Canis lupus familiaris: one gene and its partners. The main gene of each other region encodes a partner of the protein of the gene in region 3 in a complex. Links are inferred from orthologs where the notes say so. Each region holds a gene or a part of one and is shown on either strand. Other genes may lie near its edges.

Region 1 (4,256 bases), on a different chromosome or scaffold from region 3:
ATTCGTTACATAAAATTTTTTTTCTAGTTACCCTGTTATAATTATTCTCTTCTAAAAAGAGAACCAGAGGCAAAGAAAATATACAGCATTGCAAAGAATCATGAGTTTAAATTAGAGATGGAGATGAGTGCCTTGAATGAGAAGGCTGCTCAATTTGGGATTATATATTGTGAAATCTTTTTCTGGATGTTTCTAGACATAGGCTGGATTATAAATTGTATATCTTGCTGTGAACAAGGGAACAGACAAGATTTCTCAAGATCCTGTCAAGCCTGGTGATCTTTGGAAATGAAAGCCTAATTAAGAGGCTCCCTAGGGACAGGTCAAAGGCGTTCTTTTATCCCTACTGACCCCATTCCAGTTCTCTGATGCCTATTCTGCTCCTTTTCATTCAGCCTACTCTAAAACTGAAGAATACATATTGTGCAAGTTTCTACCTTTGCTTCCTCTACTGTAAATGCATTAGACTATTAGAATTAAGAATTTTAAATACCTTGTCCCTAATCTCTGAACTGACGGGTTTTGTTTTTTAATAGAGCTTAACATTTAAAATTCTTCTAACCTTTGTTCTTTTCTTCAATTGAACATAAAGCTTTTAAATGTTGGACTATAAAAGTACTTCAAATATCTTTTAATAAATCTATCTGATGAGTAATACGCTGTCAAATTTCAATTCGCATTTATTTTTTCTAATTTCAAAGATTGTGCTGCATGCAATTACTTATTTGAATTAAACTGTTAGAATCGTTTTGAGTGTCTCACTTCTTTGAAAGGTTTAGGTGAGTGTCTCTACAGTATCACTCAGAGAATAGCAACTGATGCACGTTTTAAAACTTGACATAATTATTTTGCAGATTTAAAGTAATTAATGTCCTTTCTTCCATTGATAGTACAGCAGGAACAGTAGAGCATTTTATTGTTCTTTTATAGCCTCTGCTCCCTCACATGAAAAATTAGTCACGTTAATTTGTGTAAGTTTTTAAACTTTGCAGAAGTGAAAATGTTCTAAATACAAGCGTACGTGAAAGAGTTTTCCAGGGTGTAGAGGTGTGGGCCCTGCTGCACCCCCGAACAGCAATCTTTGTCCAGACCACTCCACAGCGCCATGTTAAAAGCTAAAATTTTAACTTCTAAAATTCTGACGTTTAGGTCTAAGTCTCCTCTTCAACACTCATAAGCAACACCTAAAAACACAAGACAGGCTTCAGACGCTAACGTTCCCTAGACCACCGCCCCAATCACCGTCCCAAATTCCGTACGCAGCTCCGCCAGGTCGGCAATTACCCGCTCCGGCTCCTTGGCGTGACGCTCCAGCTGCACCTGATTGGCGCACCGGCTTGTCAGTCACGAGGGTCCTCGAAGGCCCGGGCCGGACGAGACGCTGTGTTTTTACGTCATTTACCGGCGACGCAAGCGGGCGGGCGAGGGGGGCGGGTGTTGTGAGCACAGCTCGGTGGTGGCGGGGGTAGCCTGCGAAGGTGTCATGGCTGCTGCCGTTGAGCTTAGCCTCTCGAGCAGTGGTGACAGGAGTCCGGAACGGAGCTGCAGCCCCAATCTCTCCCAAGAGGTGCTCCGCGAAATCTTTCGCTCACTGCATAGCCTGGTGGGACAAGTGAGTGGTGGTCTGTGGGAGCAGAGCAGGGGGTTGGGAACTCTCCGGCCCCTCCCCCCTTTTTTCCTCTAGCGGAGGCGGGGGGCTGCTTAGGGCTGCCGGGGACCGGGACTGAGTACTGAGGCCGGCGGAGGAGCCTGAGCCTAGCTGCGGTCGGAGCGAGGAAGGCCGTACGGGCTGGCAATTCTCCCCAAGAGTGAGAGGATAGTGTAAGTGAAAAACCTGGCTCCCAGAAGAACATGCTTGGAGAGAGCGAAGGCGTAAAAAGCTTTGTGGGTTTGGAGGGTGCCTGGCGCTCAGCATCCCCTATCCTTCAGTGAATTTGTGATAGAAATTGATAGAAGTAACGGCCTGAGAGTTTTGGCAAAGCTCTCTCCGCTTTTTTTTTGGGGGGGGGGGGGGGTTGATTTGCTTTTAGGAGTCACTTGGTTTTCTTTCTTTTTTTTTTTTTCCTTCTGGTTGTTACATGTGCATCTCTTACCCTTTCATATGGGGAGGAAAAATGAAAGGAATTAATGTAAATACTTCTTGCATAAAATTCGATGAGTTATCCATGATTGATAGAGTTTGCATCAGAACTGTTTGTCATTTAATTATTAGCTAATTTAACTGACTGATGAATAGCTTCTGCAGAAATGTCATAATAAATTGGGTTTAAATAAAAGTACTCCTTACACTATTCAATCAAGTCAACTGTTTCATGAAATAAAATGCAAAGCATATTACAAATGATAAACAACTTGAAAATAAGTTTGTTTGCTTTTAAAAAGGAAATCTTTTGTATCTTAGACGGAATATTTTTTTACTCTAAAAGTTTGTTATGGGGTTGGTATTAGTGCATGTAGTAGGCACAGCAAACATTTATGTCGAGGATAATGTTTATGAAAACAACACCTGTCTAGTTTGTAAAAAGTTATTTTTAAAAGCCGTGAGTGGATGGAGAATTAATTTTTTAAAAGGTTATTTCAGTATTTTTAAAAATCCTAATATGTTTGTCCTTAGAAAAAGCATTACTCTAAGTTAAACATTTAATTTGGTCTAACGGAACAATTATTAACAGAATCTGCTAAAAGTTGTAACTGTTGAGCTCAGTTGTTTGCCGCCAACTTATTAAAATTTTTTAAAGACTTGGGGACATTAACATTTTAGTCTTATCACCCAAGACCTGTAATGGTTAAAAGTCTGAGAACGTTTTCTGTCTTGGATATTGGAATTTTAAGGTTTATTTATATTTTAATGTCACGATGAAAAAAGTTTATGCTTACCTGTAATTTACAGTTTTATTTTCAGTGGTGATAAATTTTTTAAAGTAACATTAAGAAATAATTTAAACATTTCTTTTGAAATATTTTTGCATACTGAATTTTTAAAACTCATTTACAGATTTTAAACATTCGCGTATTTTGTGATTAAAGTTTACTTATGTCACCTGTCAAAAATGTTGAGAGTACATATTTGGAAAGTTTACATGACACATTGAAGGGACCATCTATACAGGTGTCAAAAAATTAAATCATTGTCTCATCAATTAAATACTATTTTGATATTAGTCTTTATATTTTGAGATGTATTGTTTAAAGGGAAGAATGAAAGCCACAATATTATAAAATTGCCCCTGGAGGAAATCACTATGTACTTTTGCAACAAGTTTATAGGATATTTTTTTTAATGTAAGTTTCAAAAAAAAAAAAAGTAAGTTTCAATATGCCTAGTTTCATTCTGCATAGTATCATTATATTGTTGGCTCTCCTCAATAGGAAACATAAAATTGAATGTTAAAAAGTATCCCAGATTTCAAATTTACTTATTTTAACCTTATTGCTTGCCACAGCATGGCTCATTCTACCAAGTTGAAGCATTATTTATTGTTAGCTTGGAGTTTCATACTAATTTTTTATGGAAAATGCTTACTTAAATAGTCCATATTAATGTCACACCAATACATTTTTGAGTGAATGCTTTACGTTTACAAGTTATAAAGGGTAAAAATGCATCGAATTCGTATTACTAATAGGGAATTTGTTGAATAAATAGTTGGATATATTATGATAATTTTAAAGTTAATTTGTATCATTATGTAGTTTTCTTTAAAAAAACCAAGTGTCTTTAATTGTGCTTGAAAGGCTTACATAATTATGCTGAATTGAAAGGAGAATATGATCCCAACATTAAGATTTATTTTATTTGTTTATTTTCTTTAGGAAATTTGATGCTTTACTTTAGTTGAGGATTTGTCTGTGTTATCCCAAAACTCTATTTATAAATTTGTTAGGAACTGTAGATCTCTTAGAGGACTGTAGAAGTACAGTAATTAAATAATATAAACTAAGATTAATGCAGTAATCTTAATGTAAAACTTTAGTTAATATAATCTAATCTCTGCCAGTGTAGCCTATCCAAAATTTCTTATTTCTTTATAGTTGTCTGATACAGACTTTAAATGTTTCTTGTCTCATGGAAAAGGTGGTAAATTTTTGTCATACAGTATTCATTAAGTATACTGCCTTTTTTGGGTAACTTTGGATTTCTGGTTCTTTGTACAGTGATTCATCTTTTTGTTTTATTAGAATCACAACTCATAACATCAGTATTTGAACTAATGTAATACTTGCCTTTATTTTGTGGAAAACATGACTTAATAAAT
Region 2 (3,657 bases), on a different chromosome or scaffold from region 3:
CTTTACTTTTCTGTGAATAAGTAAATTTTGTGTGTGGGAGGGAAATTGAACTCTGCAGTTATAAAAAGGGACCTCTGATAAGAATAAGAACTGGATTTATTGTGTCTGTTGTCATAATTTCCAATAACTACAGAGTGCTTTTTACAGTTTTTCCAAGATTTTTGCTAACATTATTTTATGTATTCGCTTCAGTTAAATTATGGGAACATGTGCTTCTAAGTGCAAACTTTCTGTAGCTTTCACTTTTAATTAAGAGAAATAGTGAAAAGAGAAGTAACTATAAGGTAATGAGACTGATTTAAAAATTTTTATTTTTATTTTATTATTTTTTTTTTTATTTAAAAATTTTTAAACATATTGATTTTAACACATGACTGTATGTTGGATCTTTCCAAGTAGTTTTTTTTTGGAAAAGTTAGGTCCTTTAACAGTGATTAGAATTATGGAAGTCCTTTCAAAAATGTTGTTTTCAGAAATTACTTAATAGCCTTTTGATTATATTTAGGGATATCAAATAGGTATCCTTTGAGGATGTTTAGTTTTAGGAATTAGCCAAAGTCTTTGCAGGCAAGTTTGATAAATGGAGCAGGTGATCAGATACCATTTTTGGTCTTGCCTTATTTTTGACTATGGATAATGGGACTTTTTTTTTCTTTTAAGATTTTATTTATTTGAAAGAGAGCACAAGCAGAGGGTGCAACAGAGGGAGAGCAGGCTCCCCACTGAACAGAGAGCCTGACTTGGGGCTCAGTCCAGGATCATGGCCTGAGCCAAAAGCAGATGCTTAACCAACTGCCGCCCAAGTGCCCCATAGATGATGGGACTTGTTTTTATCAGACCCTAAAGGCAGTTGTACAGATGGCGTATAAACTGCTTAATGTCAGCTGCACTTTGGAATAGGTATAATCTCCTAGTGAGGAGGCTTTGAAGAAGCTAGCTTTCGTTCAGATTCATACATTTGGTACATTGTTACATAACCAATATCCTTGCATATCCTACCTGTATACAGGTAGTAGAGTATGTTATGTCTAATAATTCACTTTTCTACATGTCCTTACTTGTCTATTTTTAAGTTAATGAAGTGGCTAATTTCATGGGAGGAACCCTTAAGTATTTTTTCTGTAATAATTTCATAATTTCATAGTTGTGAGTTTTCGACCCTTACAAATGAAAAATAGTGGGAGGGGCAGCCCCAGTGGCACAGCGGTTTAGCGCCGCCTGCAACCCGGAGCGAGATCCTGAAGACCAGGGATCGAGTCCTGCGTCGGGCTCCTGTGTGGAGCCTGCTTCTCCCTCCTCCTGTGTCTCTCTGCCTCTCTCTCTCTCTCTCTCTCTCTCTCTCTCTCTATGTCTATCATAAATAAATAAATCTTTAAAAAGAAAAAAGAAAAAGATGAAAAATAGTGGGAAAAGGGGGAGGGTGGTGGAAAATGTTTTAAACTTCCATTTTGTACATTTTACTTTGTACTTTATTTTAAAATCTGCCTTGCTTATCAGGAAGTCCTACAAACAAGCTCTCTACTGCCTCCCAGGCCTCCCAAGGAACAGGTTCCCCTATTCCTAAAATTCATGGAAGTAGTTTTGTAACATCTACTGTCAAGGTAACACTCTTACTGCATTATTGCACTTTTCTAGTTTATAAAGACAATAAGTTTAAGGTCAGCAAGAATTTGTTGGTCGATAATGCAAATTTCATTAAGTAGAATCTTCAAACTAATAAGTATCTTGAAGATCATTTATTCCAGACTCTCCTACCTTCCTCTTGGTCTTTTCCTAGTGTGAAAAATGTTCCTCAACACTTTTATTAGTTGGACGGTCAGTATGTATTTGAAAACTTACTCTGATGAGGAGGCAGCTATTTTTAGGAGTGGTCAGCTTTGTTACAGATTTTTCCTTATAAAAATATTCATCTGGCAGTATGCTATTTTTCTTCTTATGTTTGTCCAGTAAAGAGTAATTGTGTATTTTTTCTATACGTCAGCCATGTAGTTACCTGAAAATAATTTTTATCATTTCACAATTTATCTTTTTTTTTTCCCCTCAGGGTAAAGAAGCCTTTAAAATTAGAACTTCAAATATGATCTGACTTGTTCAGCTAATAGATACCTAGATACCTAGAGTGCTGGGTATCTGCTCACTGTTTGGTTCAAGTATATACTGAAACACTCGAACCTGTTTATTTATTTAGTGATTAGGCTCTAGGGATAGAAAAGAAAGAAAATACAGTGCCAGGCCTTAAGTGTCTTACCATCAGGCAGGGGACTAGACATGTAAATCAATGAGTCAACCAAATATTAGAGGCATATCATAGGAGACTTCCCAGCATACACTGGGGCACAGGTGAATAGGTTCTTGCCAGTTTATAGCCTTTTCTTGCATTTGGTTTCTGAAACAATATTAAAATGCTAGTGTGGGGGCTGAAGACCCCAAAGAGTTTTGAGCTTTTGATTTTCTTTTATTTTTTGGTTATGTTGCTAGAGAATGTCACAGGTTTATATTAAATATAAGGGACTGGAATATCTGAAATCACTTATTTTATCCTAATTGTATAATATGTATTTTTACATACACAGCAGGAGGATTCTTTGTTTGCATCTATGCCACCTCTTTGTCCAATTGGGAGTCACCCTAAGGTTCAAAGTCCCAAACCTGTAACTGGAGGACTTGGAGCTTTCACAAAAGTGAGTATTTATTAGGACATTATCCCATAAGTCAATATGGTTTTGTTATATAATTATTTTGTGGCATGTTGGGAGTTGGCTACCCTACAACATGTAAATTTTTAATTCTAAGACCACATCCTACTTCTGTGACATGTTTCCATATATTTAGTGGTGTCCACAGGGCAGCCCTTGGTATCTAGCAAGATCTCCTGAGAGCACAAGCTGTGTGTGCCACCAAAATCTAGAACAAATGGACTAGGATGAGTTGCAGAAACACAGGATCAAATCCAGATCCTCCTTTTCATCCCTCTGATAACTTTCATGGACTGTATTTAAGCAGTATTTTTACCTTCTAGTGGAGTCATTTTTTTTATAGACCAAGCTTCATTAATTCATTAATTTCTGCAAGCAGAATAGATTGAAATATTAGTGGCTTTATTCATAGGATGATTATTCAGTGTTATTATGTTTGTTGCCAGGTAATCATCAAGCAGGAACCTGGTGAAGCCTCTCATGTGCCTGCAACAGGAGCTGCTAGCCAGTCACCACTCCCTCAGTATGTGACTGTGAAAGGGGGTCACATGATAGCTGTGTCCCCTCAAAAACAGGTCCTAACTGCTGGAGAAGGGACTTCCCAGTCACCAAAGATTCAGCCCTCCAAGGTTTGTGTTCGGTAGGGTTGGGGAGATCAATATGTAAATGAACATTAGGTGCCTTAAATAATAGGTAGGTGCTGACAAAATTCAGATGACAGGGTTGCTCCCCCTAGAAAATCCTGTAGATGGAAGTCCTGTTGGAAAAGCAAGTTAGTGTTAAACCCGTCTGCTCTTGCAGTAATCATTGACAAGAACAGGGGCACATCTTACAGAGAGAGCTCAGGAGTAGTCAAGAGGCAAAGGGATACTTATTATCTCTCTGGCAGTGAAGGTGATAGATTTCATGACACAATTTCCCAATTGATTCAGGTGTAAAATGGGTAGCTAACAGGACCAAG
Region 3 (2,403 bases):
GACAACTGCACTCTTTTCTCTGCTTCTCTTACATTGTGCGCCCAGTGGGACTGCTATGAGTGCATTAAATGAGTTTCATGGAGTGACACTCATGTTCCGATGCATGGTCTAACCATGGCACCATCAAGGACTACTGCCTGACTGAGCAGTACCATCGGGTCCTGGGGCTTATGGTCTGGCTGAGGGCCGAGTCCCACACACAGGATGAACACTTCTGCACCCACCTGCTGAGCCCTCAGTAAGCACTGACCCTGCACCAGACCTTCTATGAGACACAACCTGGGAGTATCGCCCCTGCTGATGAAGGGAAAGGTGGCAGTGCTGCTGGTGAGGACGGCAGGATGAACAGGGGGCGGTCGAGCCTGTGAGTGGGGTGGGGAATGGGGTGAGGTACAGATAACTGAGACTCTCAACACAACACAAGGGAGTACATGCTAACTGCTGTATGGAGAGAGAAGAAAGCAATTTCTAGAAAATGGTTCTAGGTTCTTGACGGCACTGGGAAGTGCTGAGCAAGTTTCGTTAATAATTGGAAAAATGATATTTTATCTTCTCCTTCCTCTATTTAAAAAGAATCTTGCCCACATAATACACAATCCTCCATGCCAAATGGTTTCTAAATTAAAGTTAATTAAAGAAATAAATTCCTTACATGTTTTTCGATATTAGTATATAAATTTTCTTCAACAGTCATACAGATATATCAAAGGATGAATTATAATTCAATATTAAAATCAAGTCTCAAAGGCTTACACAGCTTATACAATGACAGTAAAGTCAATAATAATCAGCAGTAATAGAATATGTAGTCCTGGTTGATACAGTTTTGCTAAGATGTTTAAAAATACCAAAACTTTTGCAATAGCATAGGTGGTATCATGCTCAGTGAAAGAAGTCAGACAAGATACTGTATGATCTCACTTATATGTGGAATCTAAAAAACAAACAATGAAAGGCTGAACAGACAGATACAGAGAACAGACTGGTGCGGTTGCCAGAGGCAGGGCTGGGGGGTGGGTGAACTGGCTGAACGGGGGTCAAAAGGTACAGATTTCTAGTTTATAAAAGCAGTCAATCCTGGGGAGGTCACGTACAGCATGCAGACTGCAGCTCACAATACTGTACTGTATATTTGAAAGTTGCTAAGAGAGTAGATCTTAAGAGTTCTCATCCCAAGAAAAAAAATGTTTGTAACTAAGTTTGTAACTGTGTCTGTAACCATGTGTGGTGATGGATGGTAACTAGACTCACCTTGGTGATCACTTTGCAACATAGTCAAATATCAAATCATTACACTGTACAGCTGAAATGAGCATGTTTTGTAGGTCAGTTATACCTCAGTAAGAAAAGACCTCTAGAGATCACAGTTCCACTTCTACTTCTTATAGCCATGGCAGTAGTGTTTCTAAAAGCAGAAACAGTTACCAATATGGGTCATACAAGTGCTTTGGGGTCTCACTTTTGATACTTTCTCATTTTTACTATACATGTTTACAAACTGGTTTCTTTGAAACCTGGGCCTGAACAGTGATCTTATTTTAAAGGGGCAAAGCTTTTTTTTGGTGTGTGTGTTAACAGCCTCAGGAGGGAAGGTGACTGGTGTTTTCTCACTGGGTTTCCGAGCCCGCCCATTCGGTCGGGCTGTGCTGGGAAGGCTCAGCTGGCGTCATCCCTCCATCCTTCCTCCAAGTCTTCCAGGGGAGCCCAGAGGTAAGCTGGTAGCACAGATGCCGTACCTGAATCAGATGATAAATCATGAAAGTTGCAATCCCTGCTCTTCTCCATTCAGGATGGACAAACAGAAATGAAATGTAAGCTTCATTGTACTTCACATCAGGTACCATGAAGCCAAAGGCAATGATGACTTTTTTATAAAGGACAACAACACTGAAGTCTGGATACTGTAGGCACTCAGACAGGTCAATGCCTAAGGAAAAGAGATATTTGGAGAGTCAAACTGTGTGCCTTCTGGAATTAAGGAACATCAAGCTGTTCAGTCTGTACTTACAACTACACCTGCATGCTAAAAACTAAACCAAAACAAAAAACCAAAAACAAAACTGAAAACGAAGATATATGCATAGACATACGTCAGATCATAAAAATAAAAATGAATTTTAGAAAATATCAAAACAAACACCATTTTTTCTAAGTCCACATTTTAAGAGAAGAGAGGCAGGGTACGGTGAGTAGCACAGAGCGCACAGGTCTAGAACTGGACATACCTGGCTGTGAACCTAGCCTCCTCTACAACATGTGTCAGCCAGCACTTTTCTAAACGTGGGCCTCAGTGTCTGCACATCTAGACTTCCAAGGGTGGGAGCAAAGACCCCGAGAGCCCATACTGTCCTGTTCTTCACCTTATACATATACAGCTGACAAGCTCTTTTGTACAAATGCTAC

The links.
Region 1: KAT14 (region 3) and MBIP share a complex: the UniProt entries of both Homo sapiens proteins name them as parts of the ADA2A-containing complex. The link is inferred for Canis lupus familiaris from reciprocal best matches to the Homo sapiens genes KAT14 and MBIP.
Region 2: KAT14 (region 3) and YEATS2 share a complex: the UniProt entries of both Homo sapiens proteins name them as parts of the ADA2A-containing complex. The link is inferred for Canis lupus familiaris from reciprocal best matches to the Homo sapiens genes KAT14 and YEATS2.

Annotation. Positions count from the first base shown.
Region 1 is NC_049229.1:15,070,251-15,074,506, reverse strand, and holds the start of MBIP (MAP3K12-binding inhibitory protein 1), read left to right. Parts: upstream 1-1,420; 5' UTR 1,421-1,483; coding exon 1,484-1,612; intron 1,613-4,256. UniProt on the Homo sapiens protein: Inhibits the MAP3K12 activity to induce the activation of the JNK/SAPK pathway. Component of the ATAC complex, a complex with histone acetyltransferase activity on histones H3 and H4.
Region 2 is NC_049255.1:16,902,518-16,906,174, forward strand, and holds part of YEATS2 (YEATS domain-containing protein 2), read left to right. Parts: intron 1-1,497; coding exon 1,498-1,601; intron 1,602-2,573; coding exon 2,574-2,681; intron 2,682-3,142; coding exon 3,143-3,325; intron 3,326-3,657. UniProt on the Homo sapiens protein: Chromatin reader component of the ATAC complex, a complex with histone acetyltransferase activity on histones H3 and H4. YEATS2 specifically recognizes and binds histone H3 crotonylated at 'Lys-27' (H3K27cr).
Region 3 is NC_049245.1:5,325,853-5,328,255, forward strand, and holds part of KAT14 (cysteine-rich protein 2-binding protein), read right to left. Parts: intron 1,928-2,403; coding exon 1,737-1,927; intron 1-1,736. UniProt on the Homo sapiens protein: Component of the ATAC complex, a complex with histone acetyltransferase activity on histones H3 and H4. May function as a scaffold for the ATAC complex to promote ATAC complex stability. Has also weak histone acetyltransferase activity toward histone H4.